3 linked regions of the Lytechinus pictus genome follow. The protein of the gene in region 3 purifies or fractionates together with the protein of the main gene of each other region. This does not show direct contact. Links are inferred from orthologs where the notes say so. Each region holds a gene or a part of one and is shown on either strand. Other genes may lie near its edges. The genes, in order: THO complex subunit 4-like, exosome complex component RRP4-like and regulator of nonsense transcripts 1-like.

Region 1 (3,758 bases), on a different chromosome or scaffold from region 3:
TTGAGAAAAGAGTATTCAATGCTAATCATACTGGACTCAACCCCCTGGATATTTGCTTTCATACACACAGGATATGCAAGCACTTTTACATTCTTGCCTTGAAAATCCAAACAGAATGAAAAAGATAAGACAACTATAAAACAAACAATAACATTTTTGCTTACAGGCAACAATTTTGCAAACAATCAGAGGGTGGACAAACTGCTATTCTTTAATCTGAGTAAAATACATTATGCATAAATGTGCCAAATGGTTACAACTTATTCATTATCCTGAACTTGCTATTCCTATGTTTACTCTGTTGGGATTTGTTAGGCAAGAATATAAAACCGCTTACAATGTACACAACCTGTGTGAAATAACACATCTTTCTCAGTCTTCCTCATAACATACAATGAGGGCAAAATATGTTTGCAAGGGCCTATAAAATCTAAATTTCGATGACTCAATTAGAGCGACTAGAACAAGAATAGTTTACGAGCATCCTTTGTTGAGCCTTTACATATGCCCAACTTGACAAATTGTGTTTTGATCCAAAAGACAATTGGTGGGACTGAATGAACACTTTAAATTATCTAAATGTTGCTTTTACATAGCTTTAATACATATTTTGTAGTATTACTATTATCTCTTTGTTCCACCAGTCTAAAAAAAAAAACTTTAAAAATTAAAAGGAAATATTTAATTTTTTTTCTTCAAATCTTGATGTCATAATTAGATCATATTCTAGCACAAACATAAATACAAAACATACAACTTTAGAAAGCAGGCCTTTACAAGATACCCTAACTACAGGAGAATGGACAAAATAGAAAAGATGCAAACTTACGGTCTTGATTGCATTGGGTTTGACTCTAGCTCAGTCGCTGAACCCACTAACTGAATATTCATCGGTCGACCTGTTGATGCAACGGGGCAAATAAGAAAAGTCAAAATATTGTTACCATATTCAATTGATAATCAAGGACAATTCTATTGATATTAATTTGACTTGGAGAGAAAAAATAAATGATGTGTCAATGACATTTTCAATCAAGTATGACCCCTAAAACTAATTTTTGCAGATCTGCACCACTAAAAGTGAACATGAAAGAAATTCATGGGACAAAAAGCTGTGCTGCATCATAGTCATGATTCATAAATAACATTGTGAAAATGGTTGACATGTCACTTTGATCATTCATTATTCAGTGGGCTGTCATCAAAGACACTTGCAAACTTTATGCAATTAATGATAGTATACCAACCTTGCATAACAATTATTCTATACCTGAAGAATTCAACTCTAATGAAATTTGAATGACAGCATCACAGAATTGTGATATCCCTTTTCATGTGCCCATAAAGATATGATGGGTCTCATGTGTGAGCCTTCATTGTACAACGCCTACTTAGCTTGTTGTACGCGAGCAAATGGGAGGCTGAATGTCAAACATTCGTACCGTTGCACAAAAGACGTACCATCCAAAATGTACCGTTGCACGGCTTTAGGAGGTGACGTCACAATACGATTCAATTCATTGCGCTCAGTAAAAATGCAGGTGCAATACGCGAATAGCCTGCTGGCTAAATGCGCAATGCTGCCCAGGCCCGAGGTGGTCGCTTGTGGGATTTTGCTTTTCGCTTTCCATATTTTTGCTCCCTTTTCATAGATTACTGCAGGAAAAACTCTTTGTTTTTTCATAAATTCGCTAAACTCCGAGGCGTTGTACAACACAAATAGCGAATATTCTTATTCGTGCAATGGTGCGAGATTTCGCATTCGGTGAAAGAAAGAAATGCTCTATTCAACTCGGCTAACGCCTCGTTGAATAGAGCATCTTTCACTCACCTCATGCGAAATCTCGCACCATCGCACTCATGCCTATTCGCTATTTGTATATTGTTCTTATGGAAACTTTGAAGCCAGACTTAATAAAACTAACATGATCTTTAACATCATGCCATCTCAAACTAAACCTCTCCCTCTCTCTCTAAAACCCAAACATGACCCTTCAAGGAATACAGCAGCTGAAGCGAAAAAAATGGAAGCATTATGATTACCCACCATCTAATGGCACTTGATGGTACTGCTTGATTGCTTTCATAGCGTCTGCTCTCCTTTCAAAGATAACGTCTGCTGTACCAAGACTTCTTCCCGTCCTGTCATAATGAACCGCAGCCTTCTTTAGACTACCAAAGTCTGCAAACAATTCCTGGAGAGAGAATACCATTATAATAATGAAGAATATCTATAGATGTTACAGGGACCTATTACTTTGAAGTTCTGACTGCAGGCTGGCACTGTTAGTATTTTCTGAAGCACAGTTATAATGTCACACAAAAGTGAATTTGAAAACTGCAATGATAGCATGGTGTACTTAATTTGCATTGACAGTGAAACAGTAAAATAATAGGTACATGAATGTTTCCACTGTGTGCATTTTGTCTTATAACTGGCTTGTTATGGTGTAAATTACTTTAAGTCAAAAGGGTGTGTGTTTGAGCATTTTGAATATTGGCACTGGTACTCAACAAATAAAGTGATAATGAGGAATGGATCCTTGACAGAGTAGCAAGTCATAATCAATACAATCAGTTAATACTGACAACCATTTAAATTCATCTTTTCTTCTGAGCACATGTGCAGTAAATCAAGTCTTTATGAAATTAAGAAAGGGTACAGAAACTGCTAAGTTACAGATGGAAATGAAAGGAAAATACTTGTCAAGAGCCCTACCACTAAACAACAAGGGACATAATGATGAAATGTAACTAACCTCAATATCATTATTTGAAACACCAAAGTCCAGATTTGAAACTAGCAGTTTTCCAGGTCCGTTCGCTGCAGTTGATAATCCTTGTCTTCTGATTGCACCTCCACCTTCACTGTACATATCATGCTGCCACTGATCGGGCATCTGTTTTGGCTAAATAAGGAAAACAAGCAAAAAATATGAAGACCCCATCAAAATCACATTTTATTACAATTTTCTTTAAAAAGAAAAAAAAATTACACGATATGTAGATCTAGACTTCATTGACAAAAAATTGATATAGATCAGCATTTTAATTTTGTTCTGATCATATTTTGATTCATGATTATCTGCAATGATTTTTAACATGAACACCATCTCTGGATGATCACTGGATGAAGCCCAAATATGGAATTCTGGAATACTGGCAGTGGAATCTATGAATCCATGCAACACAATCTCATTCTGGCACCAACAAATCAAATGCCAGCTGCACACTCTGTCCCTGGGTGAGAGTAAGGAAGATGTTCAATATTCTTCTTCTTCTTTCCCTCTTTCTTCATGTTCTTACATTATTTCATCTCTCTCACATTATTTTATTAATCTTTCTCACATAAGACTAGATCTAGTCTTCCTGTATTTATGTAAAACTTGACACATTTTATACTACATGTAGATCGATTTGCTGCAGATCATGCGGTGTAAAAATCTTCTTGCAGTTCATGTAGATCTCTTACTCTTAGTACATTACATTTGATTTGAACTTGCGCTTGCATATAATTATGCATCCCACCAAGTCTAGCCAGGAGGCTCTTAGATAGTAAAAATCATTCACTAACGTGTGCTTACTCGCCAAAGAGCCAGGGATTGCGTCCCATTCATGTGCGTGTACCGGGAAGAACTGATATTTTCGCCCCAGAGATTTCTACTTTGCTTCTGAAAGATCTAGCCCTAAATCATGTAATTGGGATACAACTTCATTTCCGACATTTCTACAATATTGATTTCATTTTTAAACAAGAA
Region 2 (3,758 bases), on a different chromosome or scaffold from region 3:
TTTTTTAAAGAAAATTGAGACTTCGAAAAAGTGTTTTTGACCATTTTCATCATTTTGCAATTAAAATTCCCTTTAGAAAGATGTTGCAAAGTCTTAGGGATATTTCTGATCTGTACGATGCAGGATCTAGGGGCGGGGGAGTTTTTTTTTGTATGGTAGTTTTTATTTGACAACTTCAGTTCATATACAAAATAAAATACATATAAGAAATAGAAGTTTGATGTCTTTACAAATTGATAAATACCTTGACAACTCATAAATTTAACACCATTTTTCCCCTTTAGTGTTACAATAAAACACAATGTCAGCTCTTCCAATACATAATTATAAATAACATTGATGATGATTATAATATGCATTAAGAATAAAAACTAATTCTACAATAAATTCAACATATTTATTTTTTCCAGTGTCAAATATCAACATGAAAAAGAGATTTTCCAAATACACATTGGCATGACATATCGATTAGAAATACCTAAAAAATCTATTTTTAGATATTTCTAATCGATGTGTCGATCATGCGGTCTCATGCCCCCCCCCCCCCCGCCACTAGATTATTAATCAATAGAAGAAACTGTACACACATGTAAAAAACAATACAATAAATTATAGTCTGTTTTAGATGAAAGAATGAAAAATAAACGTTAAAAACAAGCAATTAGCCGTCAAACAAATAACATTAACTTTACATCTCGCTCCCGCGCCCGGGATCTTGTTTTTCTCCTTTGACAAATTCATGCACACACGTGTCGCCCTAAGCCCCATTTCCAGCAAGCTAGCCAACACTCATTGTGAGTAACTTGTGACATGACAGCAGATGACATGAGAAATTGAGAATGAACGTTAAGAATATTACTTAGAAAGTAATTAGCGGGAAAATTATGAGGAACAATTCATTTTATGATAAAAATTTCTTGAAAACTATCAGAAAACGGTATCATGTAAAAATGAAAGGCTACGTCGGACCCAGGTCGCACCGCGGACAATTCAGTTCTAACATACATTGTAGCATGCATGTCCGGCTCAGCTAGGCGCGCTGGCAACGCTAGTGTGGCTGCTCAGGCTTGGCTGGCTGGCTCGCCGGCCGGCTGGAAGTGGAAATGCGCCAGTTTCTACGCATGGATATTTTCCGGTCATCAATAATAACATCGTAGTTTGTCTGTTGCCGAAATGATTCTGAAACATCCTTTACTTTTGAGGATTGATGATGAATGATGCAACAATTATTTCCGATGACTTTTCCCCACTTTTTATGATTTTTTAAAATTTTTTTTAATTTATTTTTTTGCCTGTGTCGCTCGCGTTTTGCACGTGACGCATATAGAGCTTGTGGAATTTACGTGTGTCGCATGCGACGCGTGTGTTCTACACTGGCGAGAACGTTGGTAGCAACATCTTCACATTTTCTGGTAGCCAAGTGGTTTATCTATCAATGTGACATGTTTCCATGGCAGCTCACAGAGGCTCAAACAGTCTAGGTCAGCATAAAGACTTAAAAATGCCAATTTTCAGCCACTAGCCCACACAGCTTATAGCCTAGGCTAAACTAATATGGGGATGGGCCAAAATGCATTTCCAGACACATTTTATAGGGCATTTAACTATTAAGCCTTATTTTTCACTATGTAGGAAATTTTATGGTAAGTTTTGAGCAATGTCTTTGACAATGATGCTAATAGGTAATGCTTTTTTAGTAGAAATGCCATTTTGTTTTTTTCGTTGTCCTACCTAACCATATTATTTTCTGAACTTAGTCTTAGATTATGTTAGAAGCTAGTCCCTAGTTTATTCTTTTTATTCAAATGAACTGTTGTTGGACAAATTCAGGGCCGGGTATGTGCAGTTACACATAATTACACTGATTATGTTGCTATGTCTTTGAACAGGCTTGGCTATTTTTTTTTCTTCCAATCAATGACAATGGTGAATCATAATGGATCACAATTTGTTTTGACAAAAAATGAAAAATACTAATTTACAATCATTATCAAAATTGGGCATGTTGGGTAGCATTTTGAAGATTGAACATGGTCATGCGAGTTCAGAAACAAAGTCTTACGTCCAAACTTCTGCCTTGCTTTAAATATTTGGCTAAAAAAAGAGAATAAAAACAAAACAAAACAAAAACACCCGTTCCCCAAGGCAAGACAAGTCCACGACGCGTATTCGCCACATTCAGGCTCTAGTCTACTCTTGAAGTTGAACTCCGCCGCTGCGCCGGCGGTGGAACTTCGACTTTTGCCATGCCCCCACATGGCCCAGCGCGGCGGCCACCCACGGGCACGGGAATGCCGTCATGGCCGTTCCCGTCGCTACTACTGGTCCATTAATTCATCACCTCATAAAATCTGTGTCGGCTGTAATGGTTGCTCCTGGTGTTACTAATCGTTGAGGTTCTGTAAATTCATCACAAACTCGTCTTTCACGAGGAGCGGTGATGGATATTGCCATTTTCCTTCCCAACTTTCGTGCACAAATAGGTCAAACGTACTGGCCTAACTAACTGAGCTAGTCAACTGAACATGCAGACAATTTTAATATGACAGCAGCAAATTGGTATCTTTCAATCGCGAATAGGAGTCATTTCGTCTGAAGTGTGGATGTCAAGTCAAAACTATTCAAATTTATTGTCAATCATGCTCAAGTAAAATAAGTGAAATAAATCAACAGAAATGTCAATGCGATTCCATAAATTTCAGTTAGGTTTTAAGTAAATTTTATCTCGCTGTGAAGATTTCAAATGGATTTCCCCCCTATTTTGATTGATTAATGCTTGCCAAAGTCTCTTTGGGCCAAAGAACAGGGGAGAACAGTATATATGAGTCGTGCTACACTATTATTGCAGCACTTCTGTAAATTTAGTTGGTATGGTATAATGTATATCATTAGGCTTCTATTACCAAATTGACACATAATAAGCGATAATCACAATAGGTTTGACCAAATTCACCTTCATTCTTACAAAAAAAACCACGTTAATTCTTTAAGCCTGTCAGTCACTCTAAAAACAAGTTAATTGTTGAAACTTTTTAACAAAACTTGTTTAGAAAGTTTAAACAGTGGTTGTTAGAGTGACGGGCTTAAACAAAGTGCTTTCAATTTTAAACAGCGTTTTTTTACAGTCATTTTGTTTCTTGTTTTGTTTTTTGCTTGTCAATTTTTTCTTAATATAGAAGCAGAACCCCTCTTATAGAAAATCGGTCCCAGCCCAGGCCCCTCTCCCCTTTAATGTTTTATTTAGCTATACGTCCATTATTCATCAATTGAGAAATTTGAGGGGCGTCGCACCTATACTGCTTGACTTCATTTTTAAGTTTTTTTTATTTGTTTTGCTTTCATAATCTATTTGTTTATTAGTTTGATTCAATTGACTTATTCGAAAATATGAAAGACCGAATGAATTAACTTCTTGAATGAAAACAAAAATGAATTATCTCTTTGCTTATGCACTAGGGGTGGTGGAGCAAAGTTATAGGGGGCACAGGGGAAAAAGGCACCTTTTCTTTTCTCTTAAAACAAATAAAAATGATTCATCTACAGCCTAATGGGGCAACATTTTTGAGGGGGCTAGATATATCACGTTAATTTATAAGAAGCTGCGATTTTTCCATTATATTCAGCAAATAACACATTTCATTGCTTCCATTCATTTCATAATACGTTGTATCATATCATTTCTTTTATTTCCTATTGGGTGTGGACCCAAGACCCCCCCCCCCCTCCGTCCCCGGGCCTGTATACGCCCCCTGCCCCCG
Region 3 (3,758 bases):
GACTGAGAATGTTATTTAGCATCCAAGAATATGAAACAGTAAACATAAATTATGAACACCCCCCCAAAAAAATAAAAGTGGGCAGCATAAAAAAAAGACAAATCAGATTATCTGATATAAAGTTGACTTGAATTGCACCAGATACAAGATGTAGAACTTGAGCTTAGGGGTTAAGGTAAGGTACATGTGAACACATAAAGGAAATTATTCATACTGGGAAGAAAGAATGTAAATTGCAAGAAAACTGAATCCCTACATGGTAATTTCCTTTGTGAAATACAAATTAAAATAATCTGGGGGGAATTAAACTACAGGCTATAAAGTATAAAGATTTGTAGAACTTACCTGCCAGAGGTGTTTCCTCGTCCATTGCAAAACCATTTCTTGGTTCCATTGCAGAGAACAACAGCAGCAGGGTCATGAATGCCACAGTACCTGATGAAATAAAGCAAAACCAGTGATAATTCATCCATGCCCAAGTTCCTAATGAAAGTGCAACTACAAACCCTTGGCCTTAAGGGTGGTTTATATTTTCAGAACTTATACTTCCTTCAGAATTGACTGAGGGAATTATCAAAATTGTAAGATAATCGCTGAAGCCTCTGAATTTTCTTCTTCAGATAAAACCATTTTAATTTTGAATGGAATCTTGACACAAGTGATTCAATCAAAAACATGTATGTCCAATAGTGTAAATACTCAAAGCAGACTAAGTGATAACATTTTGCAGACATTGTGAAGTTATAGTACTCATAGTGGAATTGGTTCAATGATGTGTAATGAGGACTTTGTTTCAATACTTACTTGCAGGCATGGTTGGGCAAATCTTTGGAGAGCACAGTCGCATCTTCTTCATCTTCCTCAAAGGTCAATTCTTTGACCTGTTGTCCTACAGCAGCCACAGACTCATCTATCCCATTGGTTTGACTAGCATCCACCTACATTGCAACAAAAAAATATAAAAAGTTGATCAAACGATGCATGCAAAACTTTGTTGTGTACCAGTACATATGTAGAAGCCTATAAAATGTCAATGATATTGGTAGCAGAACATGGTCAAGGTTCATTTACCCTATGTGAACTTTGACCTTTATCAAGTGACCTGCGAAGTGCGAACCGTACATGTTCCATGAAATAGGTCCTTATACAATCATACTTTTCAAAGTTATGAAATATGAAGACATTTCAGAAACTTTGTTTCATTAACAACTTTAACAAAATTAACGTTATTGGTTAATAAACATGATTAAAGTTCATTGCTCTACTTCTTAATGACCTTTGATCATGATTACATGTTAGTAGACTGAAACTCATGCAATCAGTGGACCCTTACTTGCATCGGCTGATAAATATCATGAATTACGATTCATGATATTTATCGGCCGATGCAAGTATTTTTTATCTCATGATATTGTCGCCATCTATACCCGTCTTTGTAGCTAGGCAACGATAACAAAGACGGCAAGATGGCGATATACTAACAGACTGTGAGTAAACGCTGCTCCACTTTTAATATTTTCATGTAGATTCTATTTTAAGCATAATTGTACTAAAAAAACAATGATTTTTGTTCAAAAGTTGCAAACCAATATTATACTGTAGCCCATTTACAGAAGTTTGGGCTCAAAACCCTAGAAAATTAGTATTATGGAGCAACATTATTGTTGCCCAATTCATCGGTGCGTGTAGAGCAATGACATCCCCTCCCTGGCTCCATGGAGATTCAGCACGTCAGTGATATGACATTCATCTCCAGGCACCCAAGGGTTCATTACACGCCGCCGCGCACAGAAAAATCAAGCCATAGAAGTCGTGTGTTGTGGACCCAAGAAGTGAGATCCCAGCACGCGTGACCCACTAGTTAGAAATCCACTGCCAAATGCGGTTCGTGGTGCGAGGTTAGTATACTAATAATAATACTAACCTCGCAATACGTGTGAGTGATCTCCAGGAGCCTCCTCGCTACATTGGATGGCAAAATTACTAAACTGTCATTCATGCACAGTACTTAGCTGCAACAGAACCAGAGCACTCACACGTAATGCGAGGTTAGTAAGTATTAGTATTAGTAATAGTAGACTATACTAACCAGAGAACATGATTAAACAAAGTTTATTTGAATTTAAAGTCGTTTGGAAATTCTCGACTTTAGCTTTATTTAGTTAATTTATTACTACTAAATATTAGGTCCTAGTAGTACTAGACTCTAACGTTAGATCTAGTCTAGAGTACTAGACTACTCTAAGTTAGGCCTCTAGATAGTAGATTTCCAATTCTAGATCTCTCTTGATGACGTTGACCATGTTGTCATTGTTGACGGAGTCATTAAGGCAGCGATCAACGTCCCAACGACGGTCGACTCGAGGCCGAGGTGATGCCATAGCCCATCATGCCATGAATGACAATGACAACTTTGTTGAAGGTTAGTGATATTACCTGACTCTGAGATTGTGAAGCCAAATCCAACTGGGATGCTTGGCTTTGAGAAGCTTGTGTCTGTGAAGGCAATGTAAAATCCCCCACATTGTAGTCAAAGTCTGTGCCTTGTGTGTCGGCTCCCAGCAGGTCATGTTCTTCCGCATCCAAAAACGTGAGCAAGCTCTGCGAGCTGGGTCCGTAGGCATCTACGCTCATTTTCTCTCCGTTCTCCTTTGTATCAACAATTCAATCAAAGTACAATGAACACATATGGTACGAATGAGACTGCCTCTTTAAATTAATTAATGTAAAATGACTATTCAGCCGTAATATTTTAGATTTCACAGTCCGGTACCAGCATCAAAATCCAGGTAGGCAAAAGGATCTCCACGGTGTCTGTCGCAATGCAATTCCATATACCAAACGCGCGCGCGCACTGGACAGGTACAGTATTTGATTTGCATGCATTTATACACAGAAAATTATAGAAACCAAACGTGTACTTGAAAATGCGTGATGATTTGCGCGCGAGCAACGCAACTTGGCATTTTTAGCCTCAATCAAGTCCATTATTGAAAATAGTGCATTCCTTTGATGAAATAAACAGACGTCTTAAATAATATATATATACTGTAATATATCATCATATAAGGTGTAGGCAGATTCTATATGAACGGTTATGGACTCGTGTTATACAAAAAATAGGTTTATTTTTAAGGATATTGGTTTTAAATATGTACATAAAATTCACATGAGTAAGCACATGACACGTGAATTCTCGCGATCACATACACTTATTATTATGTACATATTTAAAACCAATATCCTTAAAAATAAACCTATTTTTTGTATAATACGAGTCCATAACCGTTCATATAGAATCTGCCTACACATATATAATGATATTCTTTAAGACGTCTTTTTATAGATTTTCATAAGGCGGCTGCCAATTCTTATTGACTTCAACGACTTAAATTACGACATAACTTAGCCTATACTTAAGTTGCAGTAACCTTCTTCTGTGTATACATAGAAGAAGGCCCCAAAAATGACTGAAAGCTTGTGAATAAACTTGATGAACTGAACCCCGGCTACGTTTGATTGCTTTATTCTCGCTGTATCTACATAATTATAGCATCCTCTCAAATATATACTAGAAAGCACCTCGCAATGTATAGGTCCCTGCTCTTCACAATTATATATATATATATATCATATATGCATATTTATGTATAATTCATAACGATGTTAAATTTCTAATATAATGATTAAAAGTTGATCAATGTTTTTTTTCTCTAAACGAGCAGCTGTAAATTAATTAACTTAACCAAGTGCATAAT

Evidence for each region.
Region 1: the proteins of regulator of nonsense transcripts 1-like (region 3) and THO complex subunit 4-like purify together in Homo sapiens (co-immunoprecipitation; 3 studies listed by BioGRID and IntAct, with this or other methods). This does not show direct contact. The link is inferred for Lytechinus pictus from reciprocal best matches to the Homo sapiens genes UPF1 and ALYREF.
Region 2: the proteins of regulator of nonsense transcripts 1-like (region 3) and exosome complex component RRP4-like purify together in Homo sapiens (affinity purification with western blotting; 3 studies listed by BioGRID and IntAct, with this or other methods). This does not show direct contact. The link is inferred for Lytechinus pictus from reciprocal best matches to the Homo sapiens genes UPF1 and EXOSC2.

What each region holds. Positions count from the first base shown.
Region 1 is NC_087254.1:29,241,797-29,245,554, forward strand, and holds the start of THO complex subunit 4-like, read right to left. Parts: upstream 2,943-3,758; 5' UTR 2,901-2,942; coding exon 2,760-2,900; intron 2,196-2,759; coding exon 2,048-2,195; intron 900-2,047; coding exon 830-899; intron 1-829. UniProt on the Homo sapiens protein: Functions as an mRNA export adapter; component of the transcription/export (TREX) complex which is thought to couple mRNA transcription, processing and nuclear export, and specifically associates with spliced mRNA and not with unspliced pre-mRNA.
Region 2 is NC_087259.1:10,557,534-10,561,291, forward strand, and holds the start of exosome complex component RRP4-like, read right to left. Parts: upstream 2,595-3,758; 5' UTR 2,455-2,594; coding exon 2,342-2,454; intron 1-2,341. UniProt on the Homo sapiens protein: Non-catalytic component of the RNA exosome complex which has 3'->5' exoribonuclease activity and participates in a multitude of cellular RNA processing and degradation events.
Region 3 is NC_087249.1:22,497,903-22,501,660, forward strand, and holds the start of regulator of nonsense transcripts 1-like, read right to left. Parts: upstream 2,881-3,758; 5' UTR 2,635-2,880; coding exon 2,437-2,634; intron 939-2,436; coding exon 805-938; intron 436-804; coding exon 346-435; intron 1-345. UniProt on the Homo sapiens protein: RNA-dependent helicase required for nonsense-mediated decay (NMD) of aberrant mRNAs containing premature stop codons and modulates the expression level of normal mRNAs.